3 linked regions of the Schizosaccharomyces pombe genome follow. The protein of the gene in region 3 binds, or shares a complex with, the protein of the main gene of each other region. Each region holds a gene or a part of one and is shown on either strand. Other genes may lie near its edges. The genes, in order: bot1, sws2 and mrp21.

Region 1 (6,390 bases), 1.6 Mb from region 3:
AAGTGCTATATTTTGTTATGAAGAAATGGTGTTGCTTCAGCCTTTCGAGCCTCGACTTTTTGCTCGATTGGGAGATTTATATTTTGTTTTGGCTCAAAGTAATGCAACTAACTATTGGTTTTCGTTGAAGCATTATTGTCGCTCGGTTGAAATTTGCGAAGAGTATTTCCATGGTTGGTTCGGAATCTCAAAGGTAATTTATCCCTGCTTTTAACTTTATTTATTATTTCTTTGAATATAACAGGAATTTAATGATTAACAATTTAATAGTGTTGCCAACAATTACTAGAGTTATCAAGAACGGAACTGAAAAGATTATTAAGCAAAGTAAATGAAAAAATTTCCGATACATTCCCTGACACTGAATCTGTACGACAGCTCTATCAACTATCTTTAAAAAAGTCGGATCTCTTCGCTCAAAAGCAACCTAAGTTGAAGGCTTTATTGGAGCAATGCTAGAAGGGTATAGAATATGTGGTGTTTGTTTCTTTAGTTTTAACCAAAGTATTTGTTACTGGAAATTTACTCGATCTAATATAATAATTTGTGAAACTTGTTTATATCTTCTTCTTAATTGTAGAACTATGTGCGCGAAATTCTCGGTTTATCTTTTTGTCCTGAATTCTTTCGCCGTAAACTTTTATATAAACTTAAAGCCTTTTAATTTTAATTATATTTTACGGTCAATTTCAATATTTCTTTAGTTAAAAGTTACTAAATTTTTGACTGCTTGCAAGCCCCAGAGGTTATAAGTTTAATAGATCACTTACAAGTTTGTTAAAACACATATTCTAATACTTGATTTTTCAACATACCTGCCATAAGTATCAATCTTTTTGTTGTTTCTTAGTACGGGCGACGTGAAACCATAAAAGTAGTATACTGGGTGCTACGGCGAATAACAGAAATATGTTTCCAAAGAGAAAGTGCTTCCTATTTTTTCTATGAAAGTAGATTGATTATAAAAAACAAAGTTTACCTTGTCAAACTTCCCCATTCATTTACCTAATGTTCATTGCGGAATAGTGTTTTCTCTCGCTACTTATTTATCTTAAACGAAATAAGGATCGTTTAGTTGTACTCTAATGGTAACATTCAGTGAAACTTAAGACTTTATTAAAGCTTTTTATTGAGGTATAGCGTCTACGCTAAATATATTCAACGGTCTTAAACTTATAATTCCTTTTAATATCTCAGAGGGAACGTAAACAAAACATATTGTTGCTGCATTGCAGCATTTTAAGGTTACAACTCTTTTTGTGTATATTTTAAAGATGGAAGCAGAAGAGAGTGAGTCCTTTTCATATCCAATGTTGCTACCTTCTGACGGTTCGTTTTATAAACGAGATATCACTTCTTACTGACTTCAAATCTAGGACTTTATCCAGAAGACGATGATGATGCGGATATGGATCAGGATAAAAATCCTGAAGAAAATGTAATGAACGAAAAAGAAGATGAGGATGTAGACGCGGTTGATGAGAAGTCCGGTGAAGAAGACGTGGAGATGGATACAATGGAAGATGAAAACGAAAACGATGAAGATACTGAGCAAACCTCTGAAAAGAAGGAAACTGAAGAAACACCAAAGGAAAATCCACTTGAGAAATTAAAACAAAAGGCTTCAACGGCCAGCTTTTATGATGTGGTGCCTACCCTGGCAATCCCTATGGCTACCAGCATAAACGCATTTGCTTTCACATCGGATTTAAAATGGCTTTTCACTGGTGGGGAAGACGGATATATAAGGAAGTATGATTTTTTTCCTAGCATTAATGGTGATCTCTCCCTGACTGTTGCACAGAGACATCCCTTTGTGGATACAGTAACGAAGGCTGGAATATTACTCAACTACTGGGAGAATGCTTACGATGGAAATAAACCATCTTCGGTATATAGCCTTGCAGCTCATTCCAGAGGTCTTTGGGTTCTTTCGGGCGTCAATAATGGAGATATTATACTGTACTCTACAAGACATCAAGAGGGTTATCCCGTTACTTCTTTAAAAAAGCATACGGCTCCTGTTTCGTGTTTAGCATTACATGGTTCCGAGAAAAAAGTATTGAGTGGAAGCTGGGACAAAATGGTTTATTACTGGGACCTTAACACTGGTGATGCAATATCTACATACAATTGTGAGAGTGGTCAAATTTCGAATATAGTTTATCGTCCATCAGGCGCTGTAAATCCTTGGGGTTCTGAATCGGACGACATGCGTAGTTTGTTCGGTACACCTGCGTCTTCCTCTTCTTACGATGCACTGTTTGATGAAGAGGTGGAAAAAGCCATTGAAGAAGAAACTAAATCTGTTCAAGCAAATGAGGAGAACGAGACAGAAAAACCCTCTCAAACCGAATCTACTACTAACAATGACAACATAAAAGCTCCTTCCGAATCTTCATCCGAAGAGTCCAATATTTTCTTAACGACGTCTATAGATGGAGTTATGAATGTATGGGACCATCGCATGGTCGATTCTGTTCTCAAATACCCCGTCCCCAAGGGTGTACCACCATGGGCTATGTCTGCATGTTGGAGTCCGGATGGAAATAATATATATATTGGCCGCCGAAATGGAATCGTCGAAGAATATAACATTCACTCTGGCAAGGAGCCTGTTCGCTCTTTAAAAATGCCTCTCGATTCGGGTCCTGTTTCAAATGTCTATTCGATGCCGAATGGCCGTCACCTTGTAATTTCCTCCTTTGATAATATCCGCCTTTATGATCTTCAAAGCAAGGCCGGCATAGGGTTCTTAATTATTCCAGGTCATCATGGAGGTCTTGTCAGTTCGCTTTATGTAGACACTTCTTGTCAATTCATGTTTTCAGCTAGTGGAAATCGAGGATGGCAAGGAACTACTACTGAAGTGTTCCTCGGATACCAAATAATGACTTCATAAAATGCTTTCTCTAAAACACATATTCGCAATAATGTACATTATGATAATAGACTGAAAGGAAGTGGGTTACGATTTAGTCGGTCAAATACAAAATGGTCTTTGAAAGGCACTTTGGATTTTGCCTTAGTAGGGTCAATTATATGCCTATTGTCGTTTAACTTTAAAAATCTTTTTGAATTGTCTCCCTTTCAACATTTGAAATAAACATCTCAGTTAAAGTTTTTAGAATAATTGTTAAGCCCATGCACTCTTCATTAGTTGATTGCTTTTTGGGTTTTTGGTTACTCTCTAAATAATTTGAGGTAAGTTTATAAATGTTTCCTTAAACCTATTTCCCCTTTTTTGCCGAATATAATAAACTTAGGTATTAAGCTGAGATTGTTGGTTATGAACTTTCTGACAAATATGATACACAAATCGTTTTGTTTGTATAACATGTATTCTAAAACTTTCCTCTACTTTAATTTTCAATTTGGAATTTCCTAATCAATTTAATGCCATCCATCCGCTTTATTATTTGTTGATGTGTCAATTGCCAAACAAAAATATCAAGGACATGCGAAACTCTTGTCTAAAGAAGCAATGACCGTATTTAATGAATTTTTTTCGTTTGATTCTGTAGAAATTATGACTTAAATTGTGTATTTATTTTTTAAGTATTGATGTGTATAACTGTTCGTATCCTAATATTGGAACTGACTCTCAAACATTCTATAGAATAAACAAAATCTTACTTTATTGCATACTGAGAGTTATTGTCTCATAAATAAATCAAGCGTCTGTATGTTAATCGGATCTTATAATGGAGCTAGATTGCTTGACCGCCGGAGGTTAAATTTGAGTTTTCCTAAATCGTCTCATTAATTATTGGTTTTTTGAAGTTTATTTTCTATATCTATCTTGATGAATAGAATTAGGGCGTGTTACTAACTTTTGGGGAGTGACACAAGAAACCTTTCCAACGCACCTAAATGAGGAATTCAGTGGAATTCTCACAGTTAGGGCTTAAAACGGCTTTTAATTTATCTCAAAATAAAACTTATACCTCAGCAGTCAAGAAACAATTCTTTAGTACTGGAGCATTTTTAAGCAATGGGGGAAATATTGATTTAAATAAACACACTCAAAAGAACATTGATTCAAAGTACGTTGCTTGCAACTCAAGATCTGTAACACCCCCAAATGATGTTGCTTCTTCAGTTTCTAAGAATACACTTCGTCATAAACAACGTTTAATGATGGCTCAATGGTTAATGTCTCCCGAAGTACAGAAAGCAAAGTCCTCATCATCTGGTAATGTAGGCTTGGGACCTAATACAAATCAGCCCTTCCCTTTAAACCCTTTTTTTAAGCCTCCTAGGCCTATATCTCATTCTTTGCGTATGAAAATTACCGATGAATACTTGCAGGGTGCAAGTATAGAAGTGCTTGCTCGAAAATTCAACACATCTCCACAAAGGATTGAAGCTCTTATAAAGTTGAGAAGAATAAATGATGAATTCGAAGAAAAAAAGAAGCCGATTCTTCATAGTTATAATGAAGTTATGGAGAAAATGCTGAACGCATGTACTAAACCTGAGATGATGCAGTTTAATGACGGAAACGATATTCCTTTGCGTTCCAATCCAGTATCCCTTTGGAAGAGTTTGCCTGAGGGAGAAACGTTTACACCTCAAGAGGCTGCTAAAATCCTGAAGTGGCCTTCGATTGAGGAATTAAACATGAGACAAAACGCTACTCACTTCCACAAAACATCTGATGAGCACAAAGATTTGAATGAAGATGAAGAGCTAATTTCTTCAAGCCCCAGCGAAGTTGGGAAGCGTGTTTTTAGGCTCATTGATCTTTCTACTGGTAATGTGTATAGAAGGGATACCGGCGGGGATATTTATGTTAAGAGAAAAAAATCTACTACCTGAAAATCAAGCATTTATTTCCCGTTTTTGAAAGAAAATTTACCCCCTTAGCATGCATTAGCGGCAGTACAATCCATTTCAAACTTTTGCGAAATAAAATCTTGAATTGTTACAAATTCACTCAGCAAATTCTTCTAGTTGTTGCATTATCTAAAAGTTATTTGTACATATAAAAATTGCATAGTTTTTTTTGCTTTCGTTGCCATATTGACTTTTTCAAATTAAACAAAGAAACTTTTTTTAGCCGTTTAATACAAATACTGATAAGAAGGGTTGCACATACGATGAAACAGTCTATACAACACTGTGCTTCAGTTTGATTTAGAACAGAAACTTATCTAACATATTAAATATACATTGTGCCAGTTTCAGAAGCGATGAACACTATATTGTATGGTTCATAACGCCGTCAACCAATTCTGTGTCAAGTCCAAATTCTTCTTTTATGCTTTCAAAGTAATCTCCAGCAATGACATGATTTAGTTGTTCTACGACTTGCTGAATTACTATGTCCTTTTTCGTATCTCCCATGATGATGTCGAGATGCTCATAGTTAGGAATCTTTAATTTTAACTTGTTAGTTTCCACTTAAGTAAATGAAGCTACAACTGTTTCAGAACATACCTGAATGCATTGAGATAATGGTGGAAGTTGGGTCTTGAGTGTTTCAATGTCCACCATGTTATCGTTACTGCCATAAACTAAAGTAATAGGTAGACGTATATTTTCAATCGGATAGCGAGCAATTCGGTTAAGATTTGTATAGTAACTTGGCTTAAATCCTGGACTGTCATCGTACATTTGTAATACTTTGCGACGCGTAATTTGAGCCCAATGTACAAAGCATTTGACAGAAGTAAAGGAATATAGATGGGAGTATGCAACGATTTTCTGAGTTTCGGAAATATTTTTTCCGGTCCAGCTCAGAAAAAAGCGAAGAAACAGATCAACAATTTTTGCAAAAACTGGCGGATATAAAACTGCTTGCCAAAACACAGCAGAACCAAGCATGGAATTTCGACCGAACATTAGGTAAAGAAGTTGGCTATTAGCGTGAATAATAGATTTAACGGTTCTACCACTATACTTTTTAGGAGCAATTGCAGGAGCTAGAGCAATAAATGCTCGTACGGAATTGCGAAGTTCAGTATCAATAGACAGCGCTGCAAATGCTAATATAGCGCCCTGAGAAAATCCAACAAGGCTTATAGAATCAAAACTGTTAACGGACAGTATATATTTAACAATGGAAGGTATGTCAAAAATAGCGATACTATCAAGACTGAAATCCCAAAACTTTGGATTTTGAGAGCTGAATTTGATATTCTTTATACTATATTTGTTTCCTCGTAAGTTTCCAAGCCAAACATCGTATCCTTGTTCCACAAGAGCAAATGGAATGGCATCTTCCTTTTTCAAGTTGCAGACCCAACTTTCAGAGTTCATCATTAGCCCATGAATAAATAATACAGGTGGGAGATAATTTAACTCTTCAATTTTTCCTTTTTTCTTTTTATACACCCGATGCAAGCCAAGCAAGTAGCCATCAGTTGTACGAACAAAGTGTTCTTC
Region 2 (6,390 bases), on a different chromosome or scaffold from region 3:
GTTGAGAATGTACAATCAGGTATTGATATTGAAAAAACTATACAATTATTAAATAATCAAGAGATTCCTTCGGAACAACAAATCATTTCCGTTGACAAGGCCACTGAATCTCCTGTTCAGGAAGTAGCGGTTGATGTCAACGAGAAGCCAGTAGATGAAATTGTTGAGCCTAGTAAATTACAAATGGAAAATAAGTTACCATCGGAAAAATCCCCTACAATTGACAGAACTGGGGTTGAAGCTCCGCTTTTTGAACTTTCTGTATCTATGCCACTAACTTTAATTCCTCCTTCAAAATTTTCTGAACCGGTGAAACCAGAGCTTTCCTCAGAAGCATGGCTGCTTCGAACAGAAATGTCGCCTTTACATTTAAGGTTGAAAAATGCACATAAATATGTTCTATCAGATAACTGGTCTCATGCGTATCGCGAGGAAATTGTACGACAATCACTACATCATTTAACGGTTGCAAAAGAAAAAGGTATTTGGTCCTTTAGACAGCCCAAAAGACAAAACGAGATGCCACGATTGAAAACTCATCGGGATTATGTTTTGGATGAGATGCAATGGATGTCAATTGATTTTTCTCAAGAGCGTAAATGGAAAATTATATTGGCTCATAGAATGGCGAATTGGGTAATGGATTACCATCAAGCTAGTGATAAATGTACTGTTTGTACTCCGGCTTCGTTGTCAAAGAATAAGAAGCCGTACATGCAAGAGAATGAACATCAGAAAGACTCTCACGAGGAAACGTTTAATGAACAAATAGTGAGCCATTTTAATCTAAATGATAATAATAACAACAAAGTGCTCTCTATTCCCAGGGATTCTTTACAGTTTTATAATGCTGTTTTTTCGGATGATATATTTGTGACAACAAACTCCGAACAAATTCAGAACTGCGTTTTAAACGTTCCTATGTACGGTCCTCCTACTGAAAACAATGAATATTGTGAAGAAATATCTGAAAAGTACCCGATCACTCCTGTGTCACGTTTTGCATATGCCAAAACAAAGCTTAAATCCACCTGTGCAAAGGCTTCTAGGAAACGTTTGTTCAACCAATTGGAATTATCACCACCTGAGTCGTTTATGGAAAAGAAGGCGAGAAGCGATGAGAACCAGCTAGATGGAAATAAAATTAAGGATGATAATCAGAAGCTATCCTCAGTAGGAACCTTTAGTGTGCGGCCTCCGTATCCGCCTTCTAGTAAAGATATTCGTCCAGAAGCCCCTTGGTTGCCCGAAGAAGATGAACTCCTTTTATTACTCTTGCGACGATATTCCTTTAATTGGGAATTTGTTGCCAGTAGGTTAACACCACCAGGTTTGTACATACCGCTTGCCGAGAAGCGGACTGCGTGGGATTGTTTTGAAAGATGGATTCAAGTGGATCCCAGAGCCGCCAATGTCCAATTGACTGGCTCCCATGCAAGACTCGCTCAGCAGAAATTAGATGAATCCTTAAGACATTCGGATAAAGTTAGCCAACATCTATCCTTACGGGATGAAGGAACACCTAACCATTTGATTAAACATAATTCTTACTTCTTATTGCCAACTGTATCAAGACATTACCGACCCATTACTATATTTGAAGCTATACGAAAGATCCTTAAAAAGAGAGAGTTTGCTAAAAAACCCACTATGACCAAGAGAGCGATTGCACCATCTGCAGCTTCAACTGAAAAATTGCCGCCGGTTCCTTCCCCTCTCGAACTTTCTCGTTTGAAATCTGAGCGTGAGGCACAAATACAGCAAATACAGGCTCAGAGAAACTTTGCACAATTGCAATCACAAAACAGGGCTCTACGGCCGCAAAACGCCGCTGTTGCTGCTGGTGCACAACAACACAACCAGCAACTAGCAGCCTTTCAAGCTGTAGCTGCTTCACAAAATAGTAGTAACAATTCATCAGCGGGTGTCTCGCCTATAGCTGGTAGAATGGTCCCCAGGCTTCAGCCATACGCTGTTTCCAGTTCTTTAAAACTAACACCTGAACAAATTCATCAGTTGCAGCAAAGGAAGCAAACTGTACCTACTACTGAAAGGACACAGTAAGTATCGCCTCAATGCAATTTTTCGATTTATTGTATTTTTTTTGAGTGCTGTTGTATATTAGAAGGAAATTACGAGGCGAGAGCTTTTTCTCTCACACAATAAAAATAGAATACGTTTTCATTTTCGTATCCCGGTTGTTGGTTTTTTAACAGAATCAAGCAAATCGAGGTAATACGAAGTGTACATGATAAGTGAAGTTTGATTTCATAAACGTTATTTTAGCTAATGAATATGTTTTAATTTTTGAAAGACAGACACCATTCTCGGTAGACAAAAACTCCATGTGATGGGCCTTGTAGAAGCGGGCGACAGTGTCATATAACCTCGTCGTGGGACTTTGTTTAGCTTCTTAGCAGTCTTTGCATTCGTCCGAGTGTTCTGTCCATTAACGGGTAACCTGAAATATTCATTAGTTAAGTTGAAAAAGTTGTCGAAGACAGCTACGTTCACAAATGATCTTTTCATACCCGTTTACATGTCTCATTCCCCGATAGCATCGGATATTCACCAATCTTGAGATATCAGCATTCCGTTGACGCCGTAAGTCACCTTCAATAGTCATTCCTGATAGCAGTTGCGACAACGTTGTCAATTGAACATTTGTCAGCTCTCGAACCCTTAACGTATTGTGAAATGATAATTTTGCGCATATTTCTTCAGCCTTGGCATGTCCAATTCCATAAAAAGAAAGTAGAGCAAACCGCACAGGTTTATCGTCGTTTACAGCCACTCCAAGTATGTATACCATGATGCAAAATCTCAGATATCAACAGATGAGACAGAAACCAGCTCAATAATGAAGTGGACAATTTGGTTTTGTAATTCAGTTCTCTATCAGTAATCAGAGAGCTTAAAACCGTTCTGAATATAAGTATTAGGCTTTCTTGTAAAAGAGTGGAGTGGTGGTGTTTAGATATAATACACAGTTGGATCTCTCATATTTTTAGAAAACTAGTTAGATTGTACAGACTCCGGGCCTAGTAATAAAAGACAATTTGAGTAATCATTAAAGAGCTACTATCTAAGGTGTAATTTGATGTTTAAGAAGACCATAAATAGGGCAAGGTAAGACGAAGAAAAACAAATAAAGAAGAGATATCGTCAAAGGCCTTCCTTTTCTGTTCAAATTTTAAAATTTATGAACTCAAATGATCCCTTCGTTCAATGGTCTCAGTTTAAAATTTATTATTGAAAAATATATTCACGACATTACTGTCTCTTACAAAGTTGAATGTTCAACAGTACATGCGGAAGTACAGTAAAAAGTTTTGGAATAAAATTTTATATATTCTAACAATGCTTTGCGGATCTCAACTGTCATATATATTTCAAGTGCAGCTCCTTTACATTGCTATGCTTGTGCAGGTCCTAGGCATTTTAAATGAGCAGTAGCTTTCCGCATTTCAATTGAAACTTCAGTGCTTTCTTCTTATATGGGATATGACTAATTTTATCGCTTAACACAATTGGTAGTGTTCATTTTTATTATTACTTAAGCAATCCGCAAATCATGTGGTTTAATAGTCAGTTTTTAAATTGATGTTTTATTTAACTTTAAAAAACAAAGCAACTGAAAGAAGTATAGTACTGTAGATTTCAGTAATATTGTAACTACTATACGTTTTTTCTTTTTTTTTTTTTTTTTTTTTTTTTTTTTTTACAATATGAAGACTAAGATGAAAATTAAAAATATTATTGCGAATAGGAATACAGATCGTATGGTAAAATAATAGATCGAAAATAGCAATTAATTTAAAAAATTGCTTCACATGGCTTTGTAAAGATGTGTGGGCTAACATACTAGAAAATAAAAAAAATATGAAGATAAAATGAGTTTAGCTCTCAAATTTGGCAGTAATATTGACATCTGTAATAGTGGAATTCTCTGGGACAGTCATGATATAAAACTGAAGAAAGCGATAGTATTCTTCATCCTCTTCCTCATTCTCTTCATCTTCTTCAGTGCGCTTTTTCAAGTTGGGTCTGTCAGGATTAACAAAAGTGTTCCAACTTTGGTAAGCACGAAGGAAATCAGCATAAGTTTTTGCGGGAGCAGCTTCGAATTCGCGCTTTTTCAAGTTGGGTCTGTCAGGATTAACAAAAGTGTTCCAACTATGGTAAGCACGAAGGAAATCAGCATAACTCTTCTCTGGGGCAGCTTCAAACTCACGCTTTTTCAAATTGGGTCTGTCAGGATTAACAAAAGTGTTCCAACTTTGATAAGCACGAAGGAAATCAGCATAAGTTTTTGCGGGAGCAGCTTCGAATTCGCGCTTTTTCAAGTTGGGTCTATCAGGATTAGCAAAAGTGTTCCAACTTTGGTAAACACGAAGGAAATCAGCATATGACTTGCTAACTGAAACCACACCAGGATCGGCAACTGGAATAGGTGAGGCAGCAGCAAGTGAGAATAAAAGGGCAATGACAGCGGTGATCTTCATAATGTATGTGAAAAAAATAAAATTTCGTTGATAAGTTAGAAAAAGAAAGATAGTTTAAGCGATGAACTAGCAAATAAAAGAAGAAAATTATAATTTGTTGACTGATTCAAAAAAAGGGAGAGTTTAAAAAGGCAAAATTCCAAAAGAAAAAGGATTAAAAGATTAGAATAAGAAAGATCGAAGCAAATTTACAGAAAATTAGCTAACGGAGCAGGTTTGTTGACAAGAGGGATGTAAATTCACACCCAACGCGAGTTCTTGTAGAGTGAAGAATAAGAAATAGAAAGAGTGAATATGTAAAATAGAAGACTTGAACGAATTCTGGTTTTCTTCTGGGACAGAATGCCTGTATTTATACATCTTTGTAGTGCTCCGTTTCCCTCAATTCAAATCTGGAATTCTATGCTTTCAAACTGTTCATTGTTGACATTAACCGCCATTTTTTAATGACTTCCCCGTTTTCGTTTTATCGCTGTTTATCCTGATTGGTTGAAGATATTCGCTTATTTTTTTGTCGTCCACCCAAAATGAACTTCTATGTACAGCGACCAATCAAAAGACTTATTAATTTTAAGCGACTTTTTTCTGGTAGCGGCTATTTTTTTTATTGGTTAAAGGTTTTTTGATAATGTAAACAATAAAACTCTATCCATTGTTCTTTGTGTGTACTCAACCAATAGCATACCGCCATAGAATGAAAAAATGAACTTCAGATTGAAGGCATAGAACGCCTCTGGCTACTTGTAGCAGATATAGATACTGCAAAGCAACTAAAATAGAGCTTCAAAGGAGATGGAGCACGCAAAAAAGAGGAGAATAAACAAATACCCGTTCCCCTCCGACTAGTGGGCCAGTATTTGGTGTACTAGATATTGTGCACGGAGAAAGTACAAAGGATTGCCGTTGCTAGCATTTAATTTCCAAGGAAAGGATAGTAATATGATAGTAGGAAATTGTTTGATACCATTAGTGCTTTTTTTCCCTCGAACATGAGAATCAGGGCTTGCTAAAACCATAGTAGTGCTAGTTCCGAGAATCCCACCTTTTCATTATACCTTCAAAAAATAAGAGTACATTTCGAAAAGGTTTTAGTAAAAGGATTGGTGAAAATAACGAATAAACTGCTGCTTCTTTACAGCTTTTTTAATTCTTTTCGGCGTTAACATGCTTCCTTTCGTTCTAAAGTCATATAACCATATCATTATACTAATAAACTGTTTAATATAATTTTACTCCTTTATTATGACTTCGCGCTATACCATTGTATTTGTTAAATTGCTTTAGCGCGTTAAATGGAAAGCATTGATCGCAAAATCCAACGTTTGCAATACTTGCGGCTATAGACTGGAGATGATTTAAGAATTGGTGTAATAAAAGGATTCTGTAACTCATGGTAAACGCTTCTCTAATCTGGGATCTCGATACTCCTTAGCGACATTTTCAATATAGCAAACATGCAACAGAGATATTCATTTATAGGTTGGATGCTAGATCGAGAGGTTCTTATTCATACATTGTCTTGAATTTTTTAATTTTATGAAAGAAAAAAAAAATCTTTTTTTTCTATTCTGCTCAGGGCATGGGCCGCGGTTATTCCGCGGCCCATCCATATGTTTTGGCTCTTCCATCTTAAGTTGTTGGTTGCGTTTAGATTCGTGTTCAAAGTTGCTTACAACATACTACTGTATTATTGTACGAGTAGACTCCATATACTTCAACAGTACAAAGTCTCCTTGTATATTAATTTGTTTTAGCGCGCTTTTCTATTTTTTTACTGTTTTTCCACTCAGACCATAAATTAAATAGGTATGTAGCGTAAATGTCGAAATTTTTTTCCTCTTCCATTTTAGTGCAAACGGATGCCTTTTTGAAGACTCATGCTGAA
Region 3 (6,123 bases):
TAACTGAGTTGTAAAAGGATGCTTGTACCTCTGTATAGTTCCTCAAAGGAGAATATGGGCGAAAGAAAATACTAGTTTGATCCTTTGAGGCAGACTTTAAATTATATTGTTCACCAATTTCTAAAGCATTCATTAAGGCAACCTCAGCTTTGCGGCGAGAAGAGCAATCAAGATAATCCAAGGGTATTTGACCCACGGAATTCACAGGAAAATTTAAACCGACAAGGTAAGACATTAAAGCTGCAATATCTGCTTGTTGTATATCAATACGTTTTATCTCCGTCAAATTCCATGGCAAAGAATACTCGTCATGCCCATAATTCTTCTCATGAGTAGGACTTTGAATACCAGCACCCCAGGCAATGATGGGAGTACGTGTATTATCAAGGTTGCCATCACCATGACTTCCAAAGTCACTCATACCATGGTCTGCTGTAAAAACCCAGCTAGAGGCTCCGTCGTTATTGTAGTAGTTGTTCATCTTATCAACGAGTTCTTGAATTTTTCCATCTATATACTGTATGTTTTCGACATATTCAACTGAGTCAGGGTGTTTATTATGGCCAATTGTGTCAATGCCCAGTAAATGAAGGAAGAATACTATTTTATCCCGATGCAACATATCCCAAAGTTCCTTATCCTCTAAAGACTGAGCGAGAAGTTCATCTAGCCTATCAAAAACCCATTCGTCAAGAACAATTCCGTTGCTAGAGAAATCCTCCAATTCAGAAGAATACATGAATGTATCAACTCGAGATGGATCAGATGCACCTTCACTAAACATAGGCAAAATATCTTCGGATCCAAACGAATAAGTATGCCGACTCTGATTAAACACAGAATCGAAATTTACTGGATTTTTTTTCCAGCCTTTTGTGACGGCTGAAACATCTTCGTAAAAACCAGCTATTAGAGCAACATGTCCGGGGCGTGACTCGGTGGGAACACGAGTATGAGAAACACCGAAAGTACCGTTATTCTGAATAATTGATCTTAAAAATGGAGCGGCATATGTCTGCTCTTCTCCAATGACCTTTTCGGAATGTGGTTGTAATAGTTTATCAGGACGTAGTCCATCGCCTATAAGCATATTGGTTAGTAAAATAAGAAAAAGAAGGACAAGAAAAAAGTTGTACTATTTCTTGTTTTTTTTTCTAAATCCAAAACGAAAATATGACATTTTTTTCATTAAGCTCTATACACTAATTTCACTATTACAAATGTTTACTTACCAACAATTAGAAATAGGCGTTTAGCAGGAGCTTCGCCTGCAGAATACTGCTTCATGCCATGTATTAGAGGAGTTACGAAATAGATATCAAAAATGGATTTGAGAAAGACGACATGGAATAAAATCCCTAACAGCAAGAGGCGACCAAACATTGCGAAAATTTAAGCGTGAAACCACTACCACAATTGACTGGGAATACTAGGGGTTTTTGGCAAAAATTGGATAGATGCCAGGACGCTTCTTGGAAAAGAAGGATGCCCTAAACAAGGCAAGAAGTGTTTTGTTCTGGTGAAGTGCGTTTGAGTGTTGAGTCGTTACAAACATCAACAGAAGTCCCCTTTAATCTACCATTGGTTAAAATTCAGATGATCTACGCTCGATCTAATGAATAAGCGAACGCTAATGAATGTATACTGAGTTTTGTAATTAAGGATGCCGTGTTTGAATGCACTAATGAATAGTGGTAGCGCTCCATCGTATATTGTGAGCTATGGCCAATATGCGTAATTAGTTCTAGCTGGATGAAAGAGTAAATAATCAGAAATCTATTAAGGAAGTGATAAATTACTTTATGGTATGCAGTGCACAATAATGGGACTTATAGTCATCTGGTAATTAAGCAAAAAATGATTCTGTAAATGGATATTTTCGGTATTATTTTAATTTCCGTTGACAGAAATGTAAAATGGATGGTTATCATTTCATTGCTCAAATCCAAGATTAATGAAAATTCAGCGGTAAGCATATTTGGTTGTTACACGTTGAGAGTCGGTTTACTCATGACGATTATAATAAGATAAAGGGATACAACCATCAAATTGCTGCTACATGGCCAATAATAAAAAAATCATTTGCAATACGAAAGGAAACGAATTCATTTATTATAACATGCAGAAGTAATAACTTCCTGCGACCAGCATTAGTTTGAATAAATAGAGTAACAAACTCATCGATTTAACTAAGAAAATTGTTATAGGCTAGCAAAACAGAATAGTAATATTAGAGGGTAATGCAAACATTAAGCTCAATCTCGCAGTATTGTCAAACTGAAAAGATAAAAGAAGGTAGAGACAGTTATTAGACAATAAATCCTGTTAAGTAGAAAATCATAAGATAGGGGAGGGGTTAAGCAAAGATACCAGGAAAAATTTAGAAATGACAAAACAAAAAACGAATATTTCCCAAAAATGTCTAGCTCTTAAATCCGCGGAGAAGTAAAAAGCAATATATTATTTTACTTCAAAAGGGGGTTTTCGAGCATTCTCGTCTTAAATGAAAAGCTATGAGAACAACGATCTCCAAATACATTAATTTAATATGGATTTTCGTAACCAAGAAATAGAATGAAATGTTCGAAGAATCACTCAATAACCCCAACGACGCATGTTCTTTGCTAAGTTTACAAGTCGAACAATTCCAGCGCGGAACCTTGCCCTGTGTCTTTCTGAACGAACGCGGGATCGCTTTTCGGATGGTTTTTCATAAAATCTCTGTGAACGGAATAGCCTTGGCACATTATTCCTTTGACATATTCTATCAACTTGTCGAAATGCTCTTGTTAGACTATTTCCAACTGTCACACTTGCACCTAAATCTTTTGTTTCTGCTGCGGGTATCATAAAATGAAGCGAATCTTGGAACGCACCATGCTCCTCTAAATATCAATAAAGTATTAGCAGACAATAATCCAACAATCGAAAATCATATTCTTGAAAGACAATAGCAACTTCAATGGATTTTCTTCGTACCTTTTCTCTTTTGCAATTTCCTATTTGTATGTACCCATCTGACCCCTAGAACACCTGGGAAATAAGAACTGTTCATTTTAAATAGTTATTTTGCGTTTTCTTGGCAATTTGAGAAGCCTGAATCTCACCGCAGTACAACTGCATAAAGAATTCGTTAAATTGCCTTGAACATCGATTTTTTGCATTAGCGTAAAAGACATAAAATTCATAAACTAAAAATAGGATAATCACATTTACACTTCACTATATACCTTTACATGATACACATGAATCTGTTTTCCTCCAACAACTATGCAGCGGCAGAATACGCGTAAGTAATTTCAATTTCATTGCTAAAGAATTTATCTAATTTTATTTAGAGGCTGCCGGTATGCCAATGATGCCACAGGTTCCTATGGTTGGCAACGGCGTTCCATATGTCGTCCCAATCCAACCTGTATTCGCCCCTTTACCTCCTGATTACAGGAGCTTATACAAAAAATTGTATGGCCAAGGCGCTTTTTTGGTAGATAATCCTGTTGAGGCAAGTAGTCCCTATGATTTTTCGCAGCCAATTCTGAAGTTTGGTAAACTTCCCATAAAACAAGTTTTAAGAGATAATGAATCGCAACAAAAAGATAGAAAAAACTTACCCCGAAATCAAAAAAGTAATGAGATTCAGGAGAAACAGACGTTTCAAACACCTTCTTCAGAGAAGTCTACAACAGAAAGGGAATCGCGGCCGTTTGTCCCTCCAAATAGTCAACAAATGCGGCGGATGCTCTTTATTGGTAATATACCGAAAGAATTGGATGATTTTTGGATGGATAAAATTCTTCGATTGTCCGGGAAGCTGGCTTCTTGGCGAAGGGTTGCTGATGCAGATAACTCGATGACTTCGTTTGGATTTGCAGAGTTTGAATCAAATGAACAATTCAGTAGAGCATTAGAAGCATTAAATGATTTTGTTGTTCCACCTTTGTACGAAGGTGGTCCTTCAACTCGCTTGTCATTGATTACAGATGTTGAGAATGAGGGATTGTATCGTGAATGGCAAACGAGTCGTTATGCAAGAAATAAGCAGAAAGAGATAAACATTTTACAGCAAATTCGCTTTAACCTCGAAAGAATTTGTCAAGATATAGGCAATTTTGATGTCCGTTCTCGCATTGAAAGGGCAGCTCGACAGGCCCGAGAGAAAAACGAAAAATTACTACAAAATGTCAAAACTTCGGAAATTCCCATTAATGCTGCTGATTTAGAAGGAATTAATCCTGAATTATTACCGGTTATTGAAGAAGAAATACGATCCTTTCGCGATCAATCTGCTATGAAAAAACGAGAAAAACAAAGGTCTAAGGACGAGTATGCCAGTTTATATAAAGAGTATACACGAAAAGAACAAGAAAAGCTTCGAAAGCAAAATGATGATTTACAAAACCTTTTGTCAAAACATCGTATTTCACGTATCCCTATGTCTACAGTCAATGCCTTTTTAAGAGCAGAAGATAGCATTCCCGAGTCGTTCTCCGATGAACAAGCTTATTATGAAGAGAAGAGAAGGAAGGATCAATTGGAGGCTGAAGAGTATTACGCAAGGGAACGGCGCTGGATGAATCGTGAAAAGGCCCGAACTGCAGCTTTAGAACGAGAAGCTGCTCGTGAAGAAGAAGAACGTGTTAATAACACTTCCTTTGGTACTTATCTTTCGGAAAAATTAGCTTCTTTTGATGACGATGAGGAAGCTCGCGTATCTCGAGACGAATATTTTGTCGATCGTGCTGCTTGGATTAGACATCGTGCAGTTGCTCGTGCTCGAGAAGAAGACGCAGATGCTCTTGACAGAAAGGAGGAAGAAAGAGAACTACGTACCCGTGGAGAAGGTGCAACCGTTGAGACAGAGAATTATGTCGAAAATGGTAAGCTGGTGACTAGTGAAATGCCTCAACATGAAAATGGTCCCTTCAAAATCAAAATACAAACCAAGAAACCAGCTGTTCCTTCTGAAAGACGAGAATTTGGACTTCCGGAGAGACTGCTTTTGGAAGAAGAAGACGAAGAACCGCAAGGCTATTCTCCCAACCCTCAAAAACCAAAGCCTGCTATGGAAGAAAATGATGCCGAGAAGACGAAAAGACTTCGTTCACTTATTGAAAAGATACCTGTTGAAGCAGAAAGTCTGTGGGCACTACCAATTGACTGGAGCAAGGTTACTGAGGTTTGTGATTTTTTCAACTTTTATATGTATCTAAACTAACACATTATAGGATCTTCTAAAAGAAGAAATGCAAGCTTTTGTTACCAAGAAAATTATCGAGTATATCGGTATTCAAGAGGATTCACTTATCACATTTACCATTGATCATATCAGGCAACATAAAGGTGCGGAACAGTTAGTGTCTGAATTGGACCTTGCTCTCGCTGAAGATGCTCCAGAGTTTGTTAGCAAAGTATACCGATACTTGCATGTACTACTGATTTTACGTTCTGAAGCATAACGTACATATTTGGGTAAAGTTTTTATTTAATGGTGACGATTAAAAGTTTGTAATATGTATTTATAAGAAATTTTTTTAAAAAAATAAAGGCAAACCTATGATGCCTTTTTTTTCGCAGTAGAATTGTTGTTTAGTATTTTGAGGCCGGCTTCTAGGGAGATTCCCAAAAAGACCAATAAAATACCAAGCCACTGAATCGAAGATACAGTGTGATGAAAATGAAAAACACTAAGAAGCATGGTGAAAATTTTTCTTGTAAGTGTAATGGTAACGAGCGTTATGCTTCCAAATTTTTCAAGGGTGAAGAAAATGAATAATTGACCGACAGAACCTGTGCAAGCAAACAACAACATGTCTTTAAGGATGCTTGGATGTCTGTTTATAAAAGACAAAGGCTGCTGGTTGCAAAAAGGAGAGATTAAATACAGGCCATTTAAACATGCGATACCCAAGTTGACCGCAATCATCATGGTAACGCTTGATAATTTGTATTTACCAAAAACCTTGTCTTGAGTAGTATTAGTAATTCCGTCCATGAGCAAATTAAAAAATAAAAGCAGTAAGCCAATAGGACTATCATGCTCAGCATGTTTACCTTTGGAAGAAGTGTTTTGAAAATAACTAAAGATACTTACACCTGCTGTAATCATTGTAACAATCAGGTATT

The links.
Region 1: mrp21 (region 3) and bot1 share a complex: the UniProt entries of both Schizosaccharomyces pombe proteins name them as parts of the mitochondrial small ribosomal subunit.
Region 2: mrp21 (region 3) and sws2 share a complex: the UniProt entries of both Schizosaccharomyces pombe proteins name them as parts of the mitochondrial small ribosomal subunit.

What each region holds. Positions count from the first base shown.
Region 1 is NC_003423.3:2,230,595-2,236,984, reverse strand, and holds bot1 (mitochondrial ribosomal protein subunit S45), read left to right. Parts: upstream 1-3,862; 5' UTR 3,863-3,873; coding exon 3,874-4,821; 3' UTR 4,822-5,202; coding exon of another isoform or gene 5,203-5,379; 3' UTR 5,380-5,442; downstream 5,443-6,390. Other genes in the region: TPR repeat-containing protein Oca3, read left to right, coding at 1-193, 271-459; SAGA complex subunit Spt8, read left to right, coding at 1,275-1,329, 1,377-2,902; SPOM_SPBC14C8.15 (triglyceride lipase-cholesterol esterase), read right to left, coding at 5,203-5,379, 5,443-6,390. UniProt on the Schizosaccharomyces pombe protein: Component of the mitochondrial ribosome (mitoribosome), a dedicated translation machinery responsible for the synthesis of mitochondrial genome-encoded proteins, including at least some of the essential transmembrane subunits of the mitochondrial respiratory chain.
Region 2 is NC_003421.2:982,180-988,569, forward strand, and holds the start of sws2 (mitochondrial 37S ribosomal protein uS13m), read right to left. Parts: upstream 2,976-6,390; 5' UTR 2,813-2,975; coding exon 2,532-2,812; exon of another isoform or gene 2,462-2,531; coding exon 2,287-2,461; 3' UTR 2,065-2,286; coding exon of another isoform or gene 1-2,064. Other genes in the region: vid21 (NuA4 histone acetyltransferase complex scaffold subunit Vid21/Eaf1), read left to right, coding at 1-2,064; P-factor pheromone Map2, read right to left, coding at 3,900-4,505. UniProt on the Schizosaccharomyces pombe protein: Component of the mitochondrial ribosome (mitoribosome), a dedicated translation machinery responsible for the synthesis of mitochondrial genome-encoded proteins, including at least some of the essential transmembrane subunits of the mitochondrial respiratory chain.
Region 3 is NC_003423.3:615,084-621,206, forward strand, and holds mrp21 (mitochondrial 37S ribosomal protein bS21m), read right to left. Parts: upstream 3,091-6,123; 5' UTR 3,056-3,090; coding exon 2,980-3,055; intron 2,886-2,979; coding exon 2,596-2,885; 3' UTR 2,108-2,595; downstream 1-2,107. Other genes in the region: its8 (pig-N family GPI synthesis protein), read right to left, coding at 1-1,080, 1,233-1,383; U1 snRNP-associated protein Usp107, read left to right, coding at 3,271-3,289, 3,339-5,176, 5,226-5,456; ER uridine diphosphate-glucose transmembrane transporter Hut1, read right to left, coding at 5,552-6,123. UniProt on the Schizosaccharomyces pombe protein: Component of the mitochondrial ribosome (mitoribosome), a dedicated translation machinery responsible for the synthesis of mitochondrial genome-encoded proteins, including at least some of the essential transmembrane subunits of the mitochondrial respiratory chain.